Canis lupus familiaris: one gene and its partners. The protein of the gene in region 1 interacts with the protein of each later gene in a pairwise test. Links are inferred from orthologs where the notes say so. Each region holds a gene or a part of one and is shown in the gene's direction. Other genes may lie near its edges.

Region 1 (4,343 bases):
ATTCACCAACATGTTACCTGCGGGACCACGGGAGAGGTTTCTTTGAGCTTGTCTGGGAGCTCCTTGAGGATCCGGTGTTTTCTAAGGGAGGAGGGGAGGGGGGAGGGCAGGGGTGTTGGGGCCCTGGAGCTGACCCTCCCTTCTGCTCCCCCTGGTGGCCGCCCAGCTGAACAAAGCCTTCCAGGCGGAGGAGTCTCCCAGCGTCATCTACTGCATCAGCATGCAGTGGTTTCGGGAGTGGGAGGCCTTTGTCAAGGGCAAGGACAATGGTGAGTGGAGCATGCGTCTGGCACACCGCCTCCAAGAGAGCCACCAGGCTTCAGATCTGCCGGGAGTGCTGGGGGAGTGGGGGGCCCTGGGTCTGTGGCTGCCCAGCAGGTTTTAGGTGCCACCCTTCAGGCAAGTGTCTGCCTCCTACAGGAGCAGAGAGCACAGGTGTTCTTCTGGCCCCAGGGCCCTGTCCACCCCCTTGCCGCCTCCCACGCCCCGGGGCCAGGTCACCCCATACCCCATGCCCCAGGGCCAGGCCTTCTTGCTGCAGTAGGATAGGAGCCGTCTTGCTCTGCCCCTTCCCTCACGTACTGTCCCTCATGGTACCAGACAGGGCTGCCTTCCACCTGCTGGGCCCTTTCCTTTGTGGGGTCTCTTGACCTAAATCAAGATTTAAGTGGACAGACGGCTTCAGACTCTTAGGAAAGCACATGGACATGGTGTCCTCTGACCTCTGGCCTTACAGAGGCGGAGGCAGCCTCCCGCAGATCCGGCAAGAAAGAACGGAGCTCAAGCTCTGGCCTGCCAGCGGCTGCCTCACCACCCCCAAGCCCCACATGCAGGGTCGGCAGGGCCAGCAGGCTCTGCAGGGGACATTTGCCCTTCAGGGCCTAAGTCCTAGCCTGGCCTCAGGGCAAGGAGAGGGGCCTCGCTGCCATCCAGCCCCATACAGGGGTGCCCGAGGGCTCCCTAGTGTATGTGGAGGCGGTCACGCCTGGCTGTGGTGTCGCAGCCTTGCCCTCGGGCCCTGGCATGGCCTCCTGCCAGCTTTTCCCTGGGCAGTCCTGTCCCCTGCCTCTGGAAACAGCTCTCGAGTCATGTGATGTCGAGGATGACATGAGGTCTGGAGAAGGGTGCTCAGCGAGTGGCCACTGCCATCAGCAGTGAGGGGTCTGAAACTAGTGCACATGTCCCAGAAATCCCCTTTGCAGGCTCCAGGGATACTCCGAGTCCCTTCTGGCTCTTCAACTTCTGTGGATGAGCCTCTGGTGCCCAAGCTCCTGTCCCTGTAAGGACGTTACACAGACCCCTTGGGCCCCGGACAGCCCCTCCAGGGTCACAGTGTAGGGGTCCCACCTTGAGGCTGTCTCTTACCTGTGGAGAGGTAGAGGGCCGTGGTGGGGGGCTGGAGTCTCTTCCTGCTGCTGCAGAGGCCCAGAGGCACTAAGCCTGAGCCACGTCTGTTCCAGAGCCCCCGGGGCCCATTGACAACAGCAGGATCGCTCAGGTCAAAGGAAGTGGCCACATCCAGCTGAAGCAGGGTGAGTCTCGCCGGCGCCAGCCCTGACCTCCCAGGCCCACCAGGCTCCCCACGGTCCTTCCAGGCCGCCAGTCACAGGCCCAGGGACCCCGCTGCTCATACCCATACCCTGTGCCGGCCTCTGCCTGTCCTTTGCGTGAACCCCACACCCCAGAAACGGCAGCAGCCAGAGATGTGCCTTCCCGGGTCCTCAGAGGATGGATGTCCCACTGGAGCATCCTGAGAGTGCTATTTAACAGCTGTGCGGGGAGGTGCAAGGTTGCCATCCCTCCCTTTTGGGGCCTGGACCTCCAGGAGCCCCCCCACTGCCAGGGACCCTGACTTCACTGAGGGGGGGCCTGCAGGTTAGCACAGGCCCAGCCTCAACCAGGTGGCCTCTTGGGCCCTGCAGGAGCCGACTACGGGCAGATTTCAGAGGAGACCTGGGTCTACCTGAACAACCTGTATGGTGGTGGCCCGGAGGTCGCCATCCGACAGAGTGTGGCCCAGCTCCAGGACCCAGAGAGCTTACACGGGGAGCAGAAAATTGAAGCCGAGACCCGGGCCGTGTGACTTGGTGCCAGTCTGTAAGTCCCTTCCCTTTGCAGAGACCCTCTCCTGCCCCTGTGCGTTGGAAGAACGCATCCCTCAACACACCTTCTGTGAGGCTGTTTGGAAAAACACTCCTGTGGGCCCCGCCGGGCTGAGTGACCCAGGTGTCCCCACAGGCCCCTGCCTCTGCCCCCATCCCTGTGGAGGGTGTATCTGTGCCTGGAAGAGAGGCAGCCGCTTTGGAAACCCAGATGTGTAAAGAGGCAGAAAAGTTGTTTGGGTTCCAGTGAATAATGTCACAACCAGGAAACATCTACTTCAGGCTCTTCACACGACCAGGGCTCCTTAACTTCCTGGGTCCTTAACTGGGGCCTTTGTGTCCACTTGTTACTGTCATCGGGGCCCAGCTTTGGTCCCTGGAGCTGCAAGTCAGGGGCTGTGGCCTAGAAATGAAAGGGCGGGAGGGGCTCCAGGAGATGCTGGGAGCTGGGGTGCTGGAGTGCTGGAGCCGACTCCTCCCCAGCCCCCGCTTCGGCCCCATCCTGGGGATCACAGGAAGGCTCCGGAACCCTGGGCTGCTCTCGGCGTTTCACCTCAGACTGACAACTCGGGGCTCATTTGTGATGGGGACCCAGGGTGAGGGCCTGGGTCTGTCGGTAGAGGTGGTTTCTGGAGGCAGCTGGTCCCGGTGTCCCCGGCTGCCCGTGCTGCCCCCACCAGGGAACCAGACAATGGGACAGAAGCATACCCCGCTTCACTGTCCTTTGCTGTGAATGCAGCTTCCAGGGTGGGGACTCCCCCTTTCTCCCCGCACTGTCCTGGGGAGCCTGGGGAGGTGCGGCTCTGCTGCAGAAGCCCACCCTGGATGCTCAGTGAGGCTGCGCTGGGGTGAGCACAGGGGGCCGGGTCTTGTCTCCGGTGGCCCCCAAGCCCCTGGACGAAGCCACTGGGGCGAGCTGCCCACCTGGTCAGGCCCAGAGTGCATGGGAGCCAGGTCCCCGCACCCCGTGGCCTTCAGGCTCTAGAAGCAGATGGGGCCGGGATCCTGGCAGCGCCCTGCAGCTTATCCGGTTCCTTCCCCGCTCCCCCCAAGGTAGCATGTGGTCCAAGAACAAGCGCCCTGGAAATCCCTTGACATTTGCTACAGTCTATTGAAAGTTCCTGCTGCAGCCGGCTGCCGGCTGCAGGTCGCCCCCCGCTGGTGACAGAGGTTCCGCGCCAGGTTGCAAACTCGCCGATGTCTGCGAGGCCTGTCCATGGTCAGACTGTCCTAATAAAGACTTGTGCGTTCCCCTCGGCCCACACTGTCGTCTGTGTGCCACGCTCGCTTTGTTATTGGAGGGAGGAGGGGGGGTCTGCATGGGGTGGGGGTGGGGGCCGCACCGGGTGACCAGCCTTCCAGACCACGGCATGCGGGCGTGGGCTCGCGGGCGTGGGCTCGGCGGGGCTTGGAAACCAGGCTGCCCCTGGATCCTGCAGGAGTGGGCGAGGAAGAGGGGCCACGAACACAGGCCTTCCTCTCCTGGAACCGGGCCCAACCCCAGAGAAGTGAGGCCAGATGTGGGGTGGGGGTAGGGCAGCACACCCCAGGGCCTATCCCCGATTGGCACCGCACCGTGCCCCGGCCACTCGGGGTATACCCTGCAAGCTGGGAGCACCCTCCCCCTGGCTGACGGCGGACATTGGTGCCTCCGATCACAGCATCGCAGTTGCCGGGGTCCTGTGCGGGGAGCTCCCTGATGTTTAATGATACTAGTGTTTTATTTTCCCTGTGGCTTTGGTTGGGTTTTCTTTACACTTCTTGGGGTTTGGTGGGGAGAGAAGAATTGGAGATTTTTATGTACTTCTGGAAACACACATATACTTGGGAAATCCCATCAGATGTGAGTGTGCAGACCCATCACCGGTCCCCACGAGCCCCCGTGGGTCCCTCCTGAGCACAGCTACCCCCTCCACCCGCAGGGTTAGCTCCTGGCCTGTCCCTCATCCCCCACTTTTCTTTATAACTTTCCCACGTCCATGTGTATCTGAATCTAAGCACTGTTTTCAACTTTGCTCACTTTTGAATGTCATATACGTGGAATTCCACGGTACAGATTTTGGGATTGGCCTTTCTTGTTTACTGTGGAAGATGGGAATGAAGAAGTTCTGTCTGGAACGTAAAGACTGCTAACTCTGGGAAACGAACTGAGGGTGGTAGAAGGGGAGGAGGGCGGGGGGTGGGAGTGAATGGGTGACAGGCACTGGGGGTTATTCTGTATGTTGGTAAATTGAACACCAA
Region 2 (4,805 bases), on another chromosome or scaffold:
TACCTATCAAAATTTTAGATGCATATACCTGTACCCTGCAATTTTACCTCTAGGAAAGTATTCTACAAATATCCTAAAGTTATCCTACAGATAATGGTGCAAATGAACGTGGGTAAAAATGTTACATATGTATATGTATGTATTTGTAATAGCACATAAATAGGAGTTCAGAGTAAATATTAAGAATAGGACTGGTTGGGCAGCCCGGGTGGCTCAGCGGTTTAGCACTGCCTTCAGCCCAGGGTGTGATCCTGGAGACCTGGGATCGAGTCCCACGTCGGGCTCCCTGCATGGAGCCTGCTTCTCCCTCTGCCTGTGTCTCTGCCTCTCTCTCTCTCTCTCTGTGTGTGTCTCTCAGGAATAATAAATAAAATTAAAAAAAAAAAAAAAGAATAGGACTGGTTAAGAAAAGTAATGTAGCACCTACACCCAGGAATGTAATTCGATGTTAAAAATAATGCTGAAAGTCTACTTGTCCAGATAATGGAAAGATAATTATCTTCAAGATGTGTTCAGTAAAAAATTTAAAAAAACTAAAGGATGTTTATTTGCATGAATGTGCATGGAAATTATCTGGACAAATATATAAAATATCATAACTGGTGGTTGCTTCTAGGAAGTAGGGGTGTTCGGGGGTATTTGGAGTGGGAATTTAGTAACTTCATTTTATAAATTCTATGTATGAGCCATTTTTGTGATACAGATGTGTTAACCTTTTTAAGTCAATGCCTTATGACTCAGGCAGTATCTTTCATTCAGGCTGCATTGCCTTTATTGATTTCACTGTGATGTTATTCCTACAGACTATATTATAAATGATCTTAATCACAACCCTACTTTTCTCTCTATTAATTACAGAATAGTTACTGAAAGGTGAATTTAGGTTTTAACTTTAGGCTTTTGTTAGAATGGCACCAACAGAATTCTATATAAATAATTTTGATGAGTGGATTATAAAAATTTTGTTATGTATATATCTTTCAGGATGTTGCTGGAGCTCTGTCAGTAGAAGAAATCACTGAACTTCTCAGTCTGCATAAATTGTGCTGTGGCCGTAGCTGGTATATTCAGGGCTGTGATGCTCGAAGTGGTATGGGACTATATGAAGGGTTAGATTGGCTCTCAAGGCATCTTGTGGCTGCTGGAGTATTGGATGTTGCTTGATTTTAAATGCAGCAGTTCTTCAAAGTTTTGTGGTTAAGAGTTACTTTGCACATAATATAAGAAATTCTGCACTCAAAGTTAATTTAGGATGTATACTTAAAAGGACTTTGGGGAATTCAGTACAATATTGCTTTTTAAAAAGTTACTCTGTAGTAAAATTTAAATATTTGAGCAGATTAAAATTGCATTAAATAGGGACTTAGTGAATATACATTTTTTAAAAACATAAATTTGTTATTTTTTTCACATTATATGTGAACCATATACTGGGAAAGAAGTAGTGAGGGAAGGGGTAAGGTGAAGATTTATTCTTTCAGAGAAAAATGAATAGCCAACTGAGTGCCTAATGGAACCTCTGTGTGAAGCAAGTGAAACATAGCTTCTCTTTTATCTTACCTTTTCACTGGATTTGGCAGTATTTAGTAACAAAGCAGCAGTGATTTAATGAAAGAATCCAGACTGTATCTTTGGGTAGTAGGATTACTTCTATGTTTATTATAACAGAACACCTTTAATGCTAAGAACTATAAGCTGCAGAAAATTAATATTTTATAATGTTTTATTAAAACTTTCTCTAAGCCCTTTTGTATAAAACACAAGTGAGTCATATGACGTTATCTAACTAGGTATGACTGTCAGATTAGTATTAAACTGAAGAATAATTAATAATAAAACAAGTCAGTTATGTTGTAGTTAATCTTCACTTATGAAAGACCCATTTCCCGGGTTGAACTTAGATATATTATTTCCTAGGTCACAGCTCTAAATTGGTCCTTCTATTTTCAACACATTTAAATTAGAGTTTCTTTTTAAAATAATATTGCATCCTTAGTGGGAACGATTATAGGGTAAAATGTAGTAAGTTACACATAGAACCAGGGTTGTTGGCTTTACATAAAAAAAAAAAATAGAGATCTAAGTAGAAAACTACATTTACCTTAAGAGAAGCAGTGGAGAATTAGTTACTTTAATAGCTTTCCCAAAATAAGTGCATTTATCTTGACAATAAAATGTTATCAAGGCTCTTCATGATAAGGCCTTGAAAAGTTAGTTGAGAAAGAATGTGTCTAAGGAAATGTTCAGAAAGTTTACATCACCTTTATTAATGCAGTGTTGTAAAAGTTTAAAAATTTTGTGCTTTTTACTGTTTTTCATTTTTTAAGGATACTCATTATAGCAGTACGATTTATATTTAAACATAGCTAGATTCAGTTTTATTATTTTTTTAAAAGGCTCTTCATCCTTTAGGATGAGGTTGAGTCCTAAGTCGTCTTAGTTGAACTGCTAGGAGAGGTAGGTCCCTCTTTGGTGGTACTGTTTTTGGTTCAGTCTCTTCAAATGTACTTTTGTTTAAAATAAACAACAAAACTTTTAGAAAACAAAGCATTAGAAAGAAGTCCATCAGTGTTATGGGCAGTGTGTAAATAAGTAAATATTTCATCCTTTATTTTTCAAGTAAAAGTCATGCTGTTACAAGTGTAATTTGTGCATATAAGTAACACTTATGAATTAAATTATTTAATATTTGATTACAATAACTGTGAAAAATAAAAAAATGTGTTAACATTTGCCTGTGAGCCCTTGACCTGCTTTCTCTACTAGGTAATTGAAAAAGAAAATCTAACACTAAAATGTAAAGTTGTTTTCCTTGTAAATTATTAAGTTTATTTCACCAATTTTGGTAAACTTTGTAATTCACATTCTTAGGATATTACTAAACACAATGTAAAAATTGTGCTTAGACTTGATTATAATGTACATAACAGTGTTCGTGTGTGATTTCTTTTTTTTTAAGAAATATTTTTCTCAGGCCCTTACTACTATTTATGGTTGTATTCTTTCCCTAATCATTGGTTAAGATTTTGCTAGTTCCCTCTGAGAAATGTCAAACTTAATAATGAGAGAGATGTCTTAAATACAGTCTATTAGGATTTGCCTCCTAGCTCTGAATTTCTGTATTAAGCTAAATATTATTGTATGGTTTATGTAAAGCAGGTTTACAAGTGTGTAGCCCTGGTCTGTAATATCGGAATGCTTTATTATCACCAGAAGCCATTATTTGCATTACATATAGACAGCAATAAAATGTTAAAATCATTTTAAGGAAGTCTTATCATTATTCTATAAGTTCTGTTTCATGTACCATCTATCTACTAGTATAATTAGTAACCACCTAAAGTCCTATTTATGCTGTGGTTATGAGAAAGGAAACAAAATGGGGTAGGGATTGACTTCCATGTCAAATCTGAGTTTATTAAAGATTTAGAAATAAATAAAGCATTCTGTAGTTGCAAAGTAAGCCACACTTAAATGAGCATTATCTAGACAGAACTAAATTTTTGCATTAAACATCGTGAAACCCGTTTTTTTAAATTTTAAGTAACTGTTTTAGAAAATGGCTGAGAATACTTAGGTGCAGCCTTATGAACTAATATTGCCAAAAGAAAGACATTTTCCTTAGCATTGAGATACCTTTCAATTTGCAAAGTGGTTAATAGGGAAGAAGACAGTTACACTTTTCCTAAAAAAATAATGAAGAGGATGAATATGTATCAGATGATATCCTGCTAATAATAATTTAAAACATGCTTTACAAAAAGATACTGGCAATGTATATTTTTAGGTCTACTGACTGTTGAATTTGTGACATGAAATGGAAAAATTCGTTAATCAACTAGGATTTTTCACTCAACCAAAATAACTATGTTTGGCAGAATGGGGCATCACCACCACTTGGTGGCAGTATTATAAAAAATTTAGGATTAAGTTTTCAGGAATGAATAAATTGCTTGGGTGATGTCAAGACATCTAAAATAGTAAGTAAAGGTAAATGTCACAGTGAAAAGTCATTTTATGTCTAAGTTCTGCTTTATAAAAGGAGGACATAATACTAAAGTAGCATAACTTGGGGGCGCCAGGGGTGGCTCAGTCAGTGGCTCAGGTCATGACCCTGGGGTGGGTCCTGGGGCTCCCTGCTCAGCCAGGAGTCTGCTTCTCCCTCTGCTCCCACCAGCCCCCCGCCAAAGTCATGCATGCACTCTCTCCCTTTATCAAATAAATAAATAAATAAAAATCTTAAAAAAAAAAAGTAGTACAACTTGGTACATTAATCCATCTCACAGGTTTGTGGTACAAAATGGATAAAGGAAGTAATCCTGTTTGTCAACAGAAGGAAAAGTGTAAGTTTAGGTTGAAACATAAGAATGTGAATTCCCTAAATAGGTCTGTTGAACATGCTCCTCCTTTAACTACTTATTCTTCTTTAACTTCAAGAATGGAAATAAGAAGCCATGGTTCTTAATAGTTATGAAGTCAGGAGGGAAAGTGAAGAAGAAATGAAATCAATAGAAGACTTAGAACTCATTTTATTGCTCAAACTCCTACTAATTACTCCATTATTAGCTACTAAAAGTTTTACTTAACATACACTTTTTCTCAATGGTCTATTTAGTAAGGTAAAGAAAGATACTATTATTTGAGGACAGAAAATTTGAATGTAGCTACATGAGGAAAATAATGTGAAAATAGTAAATGAACCTGTATATAAAAATAAGGACTGAAATACTACTTTATTCTCATACTTAAACACCAGGTGTAATACTCATTTAAATGTGACTTACCTAGAACTACAGAGCTATTTC
Region 3 (4,958 bases), on another chromosome or scaffold:
GAGCCAAAGAACCTCTGAAAAGCAACATCCAATTGTATGTGCTGAATTTGGTCTAAGCCCAAGGAAAGGATAAGCATTTTGGTCAGGCCAGTAAGCGTTTAACTCATCTTGTTCTACAACAACAATCCATGTTCTTATTGACCTAGAAAAAGTTACTGTCTCTTAAATAAGGAGCAGAGAAAGAAAGGTTACTTCATGACTTACTGGTTCTTTTCTCAGAGGAAGAATTTGTTAGCACTTAAGAAAATATGCATATGAAATGGTAATGATTTATTTTGTTACTTAAGCTCCTTACTACCGAAATGGCAAACTACAAATTGCAACCATTTAAATCCTTGACTGAAGCCCTTTTGGAATCTATTAAGTAAATGCCACTTTGTCACCGTGTTTTCTTTTCTGAACCTTTTGCAGATTAGGGCAGTAAATGATTCCAGAGCTGGTAGGATAGCAGAAAGGATAAACTGAAGAAATTACTCTTCTTTAATTTCCTTAAACTTAAGAATCTGTATTGTGTGGGTAGATTTACTTAAGGCTTATTGTCTATAACACCTGTAGATTTATATTTAGAAAGTTTCGCCTCTACTTAGGGAGAAGACAAGGAATACAATGAAGCGATAAGATCTGGGTGCCAGAGACTATGGCTGTGTCTAGACTTGCAAACTCAGGAGAAAAACTCTGAAAGTGCCTGTGTTCTTTAAACCAAATGCATTCTCCCTTTAATTTAGAATAGCAAGGCTTGGAGAGGCATGAGTCCTAGACCATTGATAATTGCTTTCCTTGTCTATTTGACTTTGGGCATGGAGACCTAACCTAGGGTAAAAATCCAGAGAACAGAGGAAAGTTCTCCACTTGAGCTTGCACACTGGAATCACTTGAGCTTTAAAAAGAAAAAAAAAGTCTCAGTTCCCCGGACGCCACCCCTGCAAATTCCAATTCAGTTAGTCTGGGGTAAGGCTGAGGCATGGACCTTTTTTTTTTTTTTTTTTTTTAAGCTCCCGGGTGATTCTAACATGCAGCCAAGGTCAAGCACCAGTGAACTCAACTAATAACTACACAAGTGGTTAAAAACCTTTTCAGTGCTCCTATGCAGTACAAGTGGTTTGTTTCCTTTTTTATTTTTTTAAGTAATCTCTGCACCCAACATGGGTGCAATGCCAAGATCAAAAGTTGCATGCTCCTCCTCCAACATAGCCAGCCAGGCACCCCAAGTAGTTGGGTTTCTAATACTTACTTGTAAATTTCTCGCCAGTCTAAAGATGCAAATACCAAGCTCAAAGTATAAATATCCTTTATTTGCAAACTGATGGGAAATGATCCATATTTATGTGCATTTAAAGATCTTTAGTTTTCATTTGGCTTATTTCTGTAAAAAAGCAGGCATATCCCATGATCATTTTTAGTAAGCCATATTGCTACATGAAGATTTAAATAATGATGCCGTGTTTTTCTATTACACTTTCCATCAGAATATTTCTAAATGGTTAACAAACATGACTTGCCAGAGTACATCTGTGAAAACTATACTTACCATCTTTGGCTTCCTTAAGTATATATTTAATACTAGTACTTGGTGTTTGTTCAGTGCTTTTCATCTTTGGAATTCCACCTGTTTCTGGATTTTACGGGTCTTCCTGACTTGCGAAGAACTATATCATTCCTATTTTTCCACTACCTAAAACCAAGGTATGGAGGGCAGCCTGGTCAGAACCCAGTAGTGTAGTTCTGTGGAGATGGTTGTGTGTGGATAACGTGGTTTGTAAGGAAGGAGGAACTGGCCCTGATAAAGGACTAGCCGGCTTTGCCTACATAACGTACGAGTCATGCCAGACTCATTCTTTAATAAATGATCATCATTGCTCACTCTTAGTCAATATTAGTGCCTGTAGATTGCTAGCAGCTGATCAACTTACCCTCCAAGGATGATTAGAATCATGGATCATCATCCATCATCATGGATATTCCATGTTTGGAATATCCAAACAAGGATATTCCTAAGTTTGGCTTACCAGAAAGCTTGGACATCTACACCTGAACTTAAATTCTGAGTTCCCATTTATATAAAAATGTCCTGCGACTTATAAAATCACACTCAGATGTTTTCCTACAGCTCAGAATGCCTTCCACGGAACCCAGCAGCAGCAGTGAGTGTAATTATTTAGCAGCATCGAGGACAGTGCTTTTCTTGTGTGTAGAACTCTAAAGTGCTTCAAAGACGTCATTTGATGATCTGCAGGTCCCACAAGAGATTGACTCTGGTCTGCTTCTTTGACTGAACCGTGCTTCGGTCTCAGTTAGTAGAACACGTAGATAGATGGACGATGGTTTCTCCTAAGTTAGACTCAGGTGCCTGTACCCTATTTTTGTTCACTCTTCACAGTTGGAACCCAAAACAGACAACAACCCCCGATTTCCCTTATATGCTCCCAGCGAACTGCTGTCTCACGCAAGAGAAATAAAAAGAAAAAAGTGCCCCCAAAGACCATTGAACCTCTAACTGTGAAGCAAAAGTCTGGCGCATTTGAAACTGAGAAGAAGACAGCAGGGGCCTCCGAGCAGCCTGGCCCCCCAACGGCCGAGCACCCCTCTTCTGGGGAGAGCCGTGTGCTGGGATTCGGCATCGTCCTAGAGTCGCCTGCCTCAGATGTAAGTCCATGTTCTCTGGCTGCTCACACTAAGGTGATGGAATTTTCAGGAATCTTATAGTATTAATACACATTCCCCTTAACTGGTTCTGCCCAAGAAAACTAGAGAAACTGCAAAAGACCCATGGGAAAGAGGAAAGGAAGACTATTAATAATTTCCTTACCTAGAATGTTCTCTTCCAAAAATCTTCAACCTCATTTATTTGAACGTGTTTCCATTCTTTATCCCTGCACGAAGAAGGGTGATGGAGTAAATAATCTGCTCACTAATTTCTTTAACAGTTTTAATTCTGAAGTGGCCGTTTTCAATTTCCTCAGCGTAGAGAGCTAAAAGAACATAATTAAATCCTTTGTAAATGGGCATAAATGAACAGAACCTTACAGATAAGGTCACACCTTTCTAGAAACACAAACTAATAATAAAAAAAGAGCAGTAGTGCTAATTCTATTTTATAGATGCAAGCCACACTGCTAATTAGGTTGCAGTGCATGCCATTTACTCTTTATAATGATAGGTTGGTTAATGCTCTGCAAAGGTTTTTCTATTTCAATATCATAGCTAGAAAGTTGTTGCAGTCCTGGATGTTGGATGACATCTAAGAGATCCATCCGACTTGCCATCTTATAGCTGTATGACCATAAACTGAAGTCCTTAAGAATGTGCTATTTTTGCAACTGCATACTCTGTTTACAATATCTTTATCTAAGTACATTAATGTGAACCCCGTCTGGTTGGGAGAGTTCTTAAAATAAACAAGAGTGAGTGATCTATTATTATCAGTTTGCATAGGATGAGAATCCTGCTGAGAACACCCACGGGCCTATATGGGATTGGAGTTTGGCCCTACCTTTTAAACTTTAAATAAAAAATAATTGCTATTTAAAAAAAAAGAGTGTCTCCTTTCAGATTGCAGAAAGGCAGTTTGCTAGCTTGTATCCACATTGGGTCTTTAATAAAGAGAGGTGACTTTTTTAGACTAGAAAGTCATTTGAACTTTTATCCAACCCTCAACATGAAAGGTTTTTATTGTTTTGGTTTTTTATCTTTGAACGCATGCTAAAATTAAGCAGTCCTTCTAGACTCAAAACTTAACTTTAAAAAAATCATTAATGATGTAATGTTCCACCCCAGGCCAATCAGCTGATTTGATTATATCATATGCTTATTGGAACTAAGGCCCTGGTTTCAAAACCCAAGTCAATCACCTATTTGGAAACAGAGGTGAATTATTCCACAACACAAAGTACATTCCATCTTAAGCAGTTTTCATGAACACTTTTATGTTTTTCTTGAATTTTCTAAGAGTTCATTTCTGATGGACATTAATATATGAGGAGCAATCATTTCCATTGTGTAAATCATCTCCTAAATGGGTCGCTCTAATGCTGATAACTGAACTTTCTCCTTTCTTTATTTTTAAGCTCCAAATATACTTCAGAGATAAATTGAGGAAGATCTGATAAAGGCCTTATGTACATTAATAATAGAATTTTTCTTATCTTTACCAATATCACCATTTTAATTTTGTTCATATACCAAATAAAAATAAATTTCTTTTTATTCATGATTACTTTTGCTAACAAGAGCTGTTAAATTTAACACAGCACATTCACAATTGTCCATGAAAACTCAGTTAGGTGCTGATTATCTTTGAGGAATAACATGCTTCTAAAAGCAGAAAGTATATGGAGATAATTATCTTTACATTATCCAGCTGATAGGCCGTTTGATTCATCTGTTCAACAGAAACAACTGCACCTAGAGGTCTGTGCAATGAATCCCATTGTTAGATGAGGCAATTTTGTCCACAGATAGTGTTCGTTGGAAATAATGAGACCAGCTTTCAGGGTCCCTGGCAGGGCAGGGGTTGGGGTAAGAATGTGTGGATTGACTCCCTTACCTGATGGAACCAGCAGTTCAAAGGCATCCAAATTTAGGTACTCTTCTATTCTTTATTATTTCTTAGCCATAGTCCTCTTAAAATTTGGTGGAAGTCCAGAGGAGAAAACAGAAAATATATAATAATCTTGTAGAAATTGTTCTCTAAAATGGATCTGAGAGAATGTAATATAATTGGATATATATAAATGGATGAGAATTCTGTATTTCTGTATTTGAAGATGGGCCCTGGGAAGTACCCAGCATTGGGAGGATCAGGTCCAAAGTTGCAGGGTTGGGCAAGTGGTCCAATGCTGCCTGAACAGCTATCTGGCTGGCTCTGGTAGTGGATGATGATGTAAAGGTAGAATGGGGCCAAGTAGTAAGAGCCCTAATATGCCATGCTGATGCCCTTGACCATCATCTTGTGGGCACTA
Region 4 (4,958 bases), on another chromosome or scaffold:
CAAGCCCATGTGTGTGATGATGCCCCAAGTCTGTCCCCAGGAGAGCTCTTGCCAACTTGGTGGTGCTAGAGGGAGAGATAGTTGCCTTCCAGGCCCAAAGCCACCAGCAAGGACTGCTCTTTTGGGAGGGAACTGTGCCTCTGCACTTGCAAGAGTAAAATTCCAGGTAGAGTGGCCTTGAGTTTTAAATGACCTTTTGTTCTCTCTGCTGGTGGTCACACTTTGGATTTTGGGTATTCAGAATATCTGTATCGGTATCTAGACTTGATGTCACGTGTGTATAAGACCCGAACTTTTTCTTTTTATATTTACTTTAGAGAGAGAAAGAACATGTGCACACATGGGGGGAGGGGGCATGGGCAGAGGGAGAGAAGCAGACTCAACTGTGAGCATGGAGCTAGACGGGGGGGTGGGGGGTTGATCTAATGACCCTGAGATTGTGACCTTTAAGAAAGGTTTGTACATTTATTGATTTTTATCTTGAAGAAATCTCCCAGTAATGTCCCCTGGAACTCAGAGCACGTCAGATGGGTGATGTGGGCAGCAGAATTGTCTGGGCAACTGTGTGTACCGAAACATTGAAATCTGTTGTGTTGTTGGATTTCAGTAGACTTTCTCTGTCCTGAAGGTAGAGGGAACTCTGTGTCCCAAAGATGGATGTCAGGGATATTTGCATTTTGATTCCCTATTTGCTTTTTTTTATGTGATATGATAGGGGAATGTGAATTCGCAGAATGTGAATCTGTCTTCTATTGGAGTGACTGGTGTGGCAGAAGGAGTGGGTGCTGGGTTGCACTTGGCTCTGAAGTTTTGCTGCTTCATGACAGTGTGAACTAGGGTTTAGGACATGTGCCCTTTATCTGCTGCAGAGGGTAGTGGATAGTAAGCTTTAGAGGAAACCATAAGATGGGGCTCAAAGGCCACAGAACCCGATGAGTGCCCTGCAGGAAAGGCGCTTGTGGAGGACAGCACTCGACCTGGTAGAGGACGAGTCAGTCCTTTGTGGTGGGCCACCTGCATTGAGTGTCCCTCCTTCATGGTGTGATCTCAGTCAGGTTAGTTAACCTTTCTGTGCTCCAGTTTGTTCACTTGAAAACAGGCATTAAAATAATCTCTGCAACAGTACCTACCTCTTAAAAGTTAAATGACATACAGAGCCTAACATACAGAGCCAGGTTTCTGGCACATGGGAGACACTGAGTTTGTATTAGGGCTTCTCATGGTCAGGGCTGCAGGAGGCATTTGCTGCGTGTGAAAAGGTGTGTGTCGGAATTTATCCAGATGTGTGGTTTAGCCAGAGCCTTGCAGCGGATCAGCGGATCATGTATTTCAAAGCAGCCACCATTTCAGAAGGGTGGAAAGTTCTAAGGAAGCCAGTAGGAACAGGGAGGCACCTCCTTAGTGCAGTGGGCGTGACTTGCCGGAGGGAGCCTGTATATGAGATTCCTCTAGGTTTTTGGGGTGTAGGCTGGTTATGTTCTCCCGTGCTGTGATTGTGCTGGTTGTGAAAATTTCCTGACTCTGCATTGGCCAAATTGTATTTGAAGCAATACATGAATACCTTGATAGGGGAAATGGGACCAAGAAAAGCTAAAATGAGACTGTCACTTACATGTCTTGGATTATTCTTCTAGTTTACTTTTTGAAAAGATCATTTTGCTGTTTTGTCTTGAGCAAAAAAGCATATGGTATTTGTACCTAGTTTACTTCGTCTGTAGGGCCTATATCAGACCTCTGTGTCAGGTGGGCAGTTGTGAATGATCCAGGGGCTAGGAATCAAAAAACCTGGATCCTAAGCCCAAGTCCGAGCTCTCCCACTACTTGCTCTTTGATTTGGGCGAGTCCCCCAACTTCTGGATCTCAGGTTTGAGACGTGAAAAGTGGAGAAGACACTAGGCATGTTGCCCTGCTGGCCTCACCTGGGGTGTTTATAAGACTCAGATGAGAATCCTGGTAAACTGCTTTATAACCAAGGTACAAGTTTTAACATAACAAATGGCTGCGGGTAACCAAGCTCTGACCCTCCTAATGAAATATTTTCTTTCTCAGTGATGTTACAGCCTTTCGATTATGACCCCAATGAGAAAAGTAAACACAAGTTTATGGTTCAGTCTATGTTTGCTCCGACTGACACTTCTGATATGGAAGCAGTAGTAAGTACTGAATGCTTCTTACTTTTTTTAGTAATTAAAAAAAAAATGATGAGGTACAGAATTTTGGGTGCATGCATTTCAAAATGTGTCAAAGTTGTTTTTAAAGGGGAATGGTGTTTTCAAGGAGGTTTGTACTTTGACTACCTTTATGGTTTTTCCTCAAATTTTTATTTTAACATTTTATGTAACTTTCCAGAATACTATTCTTTTCTGACTCTTTTAAAATCACAGTTTGCTTCAGCACTTCCTTGTTCTGATGAATTGTGTTTTAAATGGTTTGAGGATTTCTTCCCTTTATACCCCCTTTACATCCTCCATAGGAAAGGGTACTTCTTAGTATAGGGAATGCCTCTTACCACCTCTCCCTGTCCACCACCCTGACCCCCACCCTGCAAGAGCCCAGAGGGATGTGAGACAATGAAATACTTAAATGTCCTCCAGTGCCAAAGGGTTTTTTCCTTGCTTGGTTCTGGTAAGCATGATTTTTTTCCCCCTCCCTAATTTCCCTCTTTTTTTTTTTCCTGCTTAAATACATGTTTAACCCTTTCTCTAATTTCAGTAAAAATAAGATGACTTTGTTTTTATAAAATGAATAAGTGATATTATTGGTTTTCCTGGGAAAAGGTTATAATGGAAATTCTTCTTAAAGTAAACTTTTCCACATTTGAAGAAATCGGCGGACATTCTGCTGTCTGCAGGAATCACAATGTACAGATAAACCTTACCTTACACAGCCCCCACTAGACTGGAGAGTCCTCACATTCACACATGGGAAGAGGAAGGCAAGGTTCCCTCAACATCTGCATCATCACTTTCCAGCTCACCACCCCCAGGCTAGGAGACTGGTCACCTGAGGAGTACCTGCAGTTGGGAGGCAGTGGTGGCTCACAGAGCACCGTGGTTTTTCTCTTTCAAGTTTTATGCAAAGGGCTTTCTATGCACCACTTCCCTTTGTGTCCCAGTGTCCCATTCAGCCTTTTCTGTTAGTCTTGGAAAAGCACAAATGACCATCTTTGTGGATGTTTAAGTTTGGGGCAGGAGATGAGGGATAAGCCAGATACCTTGAGATTTGAGAGAGATGAGTGATAATAGACTACCTTCCCCTTTCATAAGAATGATTATTGAGGCATTTACTACTTTCTCTTTTATTCCCAGAACATGATGTGTCACTTCATGTTAATTTGTGTGAGCAAGGAAATGTATGGCAAATACAAAATTTGGAATATCCAAGAATGTATTCTGCTTGGCTTTTGCTGCATGGCTTAGTGACAAGAGCATGGGCTTGGGTGTCTTGGGTGTGGGGCTGAGCTCTGCCTTTTACTAATGTTGTGGCCTTGGGCAGTTTTCATTAACTCTCTATAGGGTTGGGTTACCTGTAAAAGGGGGATAAAAACGTAGTTTACACTGGTCGTGGGATTCCGTGTGCTGTGTGTGTCAGACACCTGGCACAGTCTCCAAAGCTGTTGTATCTGAGCACTATTATAGGCCAGGCCCTCTATATACAATGAGGGTGAATTTCACTCCTTTTTATGATAATTTTCATAACAGTTAAAATTTTTTATATGAAATGTATATGGTAGGAAAATTTGGAAATATACAAATAAGCACAAATAAAACTAAAACTGACCTGTATTTATTTATTTATACTAGACCTAATCACTGTTATTCAGAGCCTTGTGCTATTTCTTTATTTTTAACTTTTTTTTTTTGTATTTTGATCTATAGAATAGAAGTGGAAAAAATTATACAGTGACTACTCCTATAACGTTTATCTAGATTCACCATTTAATACTTTGCCACATTTGCTTTATTTCTCTTATAAACTTTCTTTTTTTGCCGAACCACTTGACTCTAAGACACAGACTTCAGGACACTTGCTCCTACATGCTTCAGAACAAGGACAGTGTCTTACACAGTCACAGCACTGCCCTCACAGCTGAGAAGGTTGACATTAATCCAATCATATTATTTAACCGAGAAACTCCAATGCCGCGTTCTCCAGTTGCTCCAAAGTGGCCGTTGGTTGTTCTTAGTCAAGTAGAGAACAGTACCCTCAGCCTTTTTTGTTTTTCATGACTTTGAATTTTTTGAGACCAGGCCAGTTCTTGGGGTTGTCCACTTATTTCCTCATGATTAAATTCAGGTTCAATGTTTTTTAGCAAGAATATTCCATAAGTAATACCATATATGCATCATATCAGAAGGCATTCAGTACTGGGTTGTCCCTCTACTGGTGATGCTAAAAGTTGGATTACTTTGTTAATTTGGTGACTGCCAACTTTCCAGTGTCAAGGCAAGGTTGCCCCTTGTGGTTAATATGTGATCTTTGATACTCTTGAGTAATTGGACGCTTGGAGACCACGTGAATAACCTGCTCACCAGCAGTCTCACCTGGTGGTTTAGTGTCTAGTGATTGACCCTTGCTTGATGTTCTTTTGACACACAAAAGAACTTTTGTATACTGTGTGTATACAGAGGAACAGACTTAAAATATTGTTTGTAGCTTCTTCACTTAATGTTCTGTGAATTTTCCCTGTGTAATTAAATACTCTTCAGTATCACTTGTGAATGGCATGCTATTCCACTGAATGGACCTGCCATGGTTTATTTGGCAGTTCCTTATTGCTTGACATACAGATTGTTTCCTATTTCTGGCTCTTGGTACCTGTGTTGCGCTAGCTGCCTCCTGCATGGTCCTGGGCCGAGGGTGGGAAGGTTTGTTCTCTTTTTCTGTGTTAACCTTCCTGCTACGCTGGTCTGCAGTTCTCGGCATACCCTGGAATTCCTGCCCTCCATTGCCCAAAG

Evidence for each region.
Region 2: the proteins of USP20 (region 1) and TRIM23 interact in binary tests that used the Homo sapiens proteins (3 or more experiments, as listed by UniProt). The link is inferred for Canis lupus familiaris from reciprocal best matches to the Homo sapiens genes USP20 and TRIM23.
Region 3: the proteins of USP20 (region 1) and BEND7 interact in binary tests that used the Homo sapiens proteins (3 or more experiments, as listed by UniProt). The two-hybrid records come from large-scale screens. The link is inferred for Canis lupus familiaris from reciprocal best matches to the Homo sapiens genes USP20 and BEND7.
Region 4: the proteins of USP20 (region 1) and VAPB interact in binary tests that used the Homo sapiens proteins (3 or more experiments, as listed by UniProt). The two-hybrid records come from large-scale screens. The link is inferred for Canis lupus familiaris from reciprocal best matches to the Homo sapiens genes USP20 and VAPB.

What each region holds. Positions count from the first base shown.
Region 1 is NC_049230.1:54,055,200-54,059,542, reverse strand, and holds the end of USP20 (ubiquitin carboxyl-terminal hydrolase 20), read left to right. Parts: intron 1-166; coding exon 167-269; intron 270-1,460; coding exon 1,461-1,532; intron 1,533-1,922; coding exon 1,923-2,083; 3' UTR 2,084-2,097; intron 2,098-3,155; exon of another isoform or gene 3,156-3,159; 3' UTR 3,160-3,362; downstream 3,363-4,343.
Region 2 is NC_049223.1:50,554,080-50,558,884, reverse strand, and holds the end of TRIM23 (E3 ubiquitin-protein ligase TRIM23), read left to right. Parts: intron 1-984; coding exon 985-1,164; 3' UTR 1,165-3,267; downstream 3,268-4,805.
Region 3 is NC_049223.1:21,975,088-21,980,045, forward strand, and holds part of BEND7 (BEN domain-containing protein 7), read left to right. Parts: intron 1-2,377; coding exon 2,378-2,643; intron 2,644-4,958.
Region 4 is NC_049245.1:43,968,579-43,973,536, forward strand, and holds part of VAPB (vesicle-associated membrane protein-associated protein B/C), read left to right. Parts: intron 1-2,049; coding exon 2,050-2,153; intron 2,154-4,958. UniProt on the Homo sapiens protein: Endoplasmic reticulum (ER)-anchored protein that mediates the formation of contact sites between the ER and endosomes via interaction with FFAT motif-containing proteins such as STARD3 or WDR44.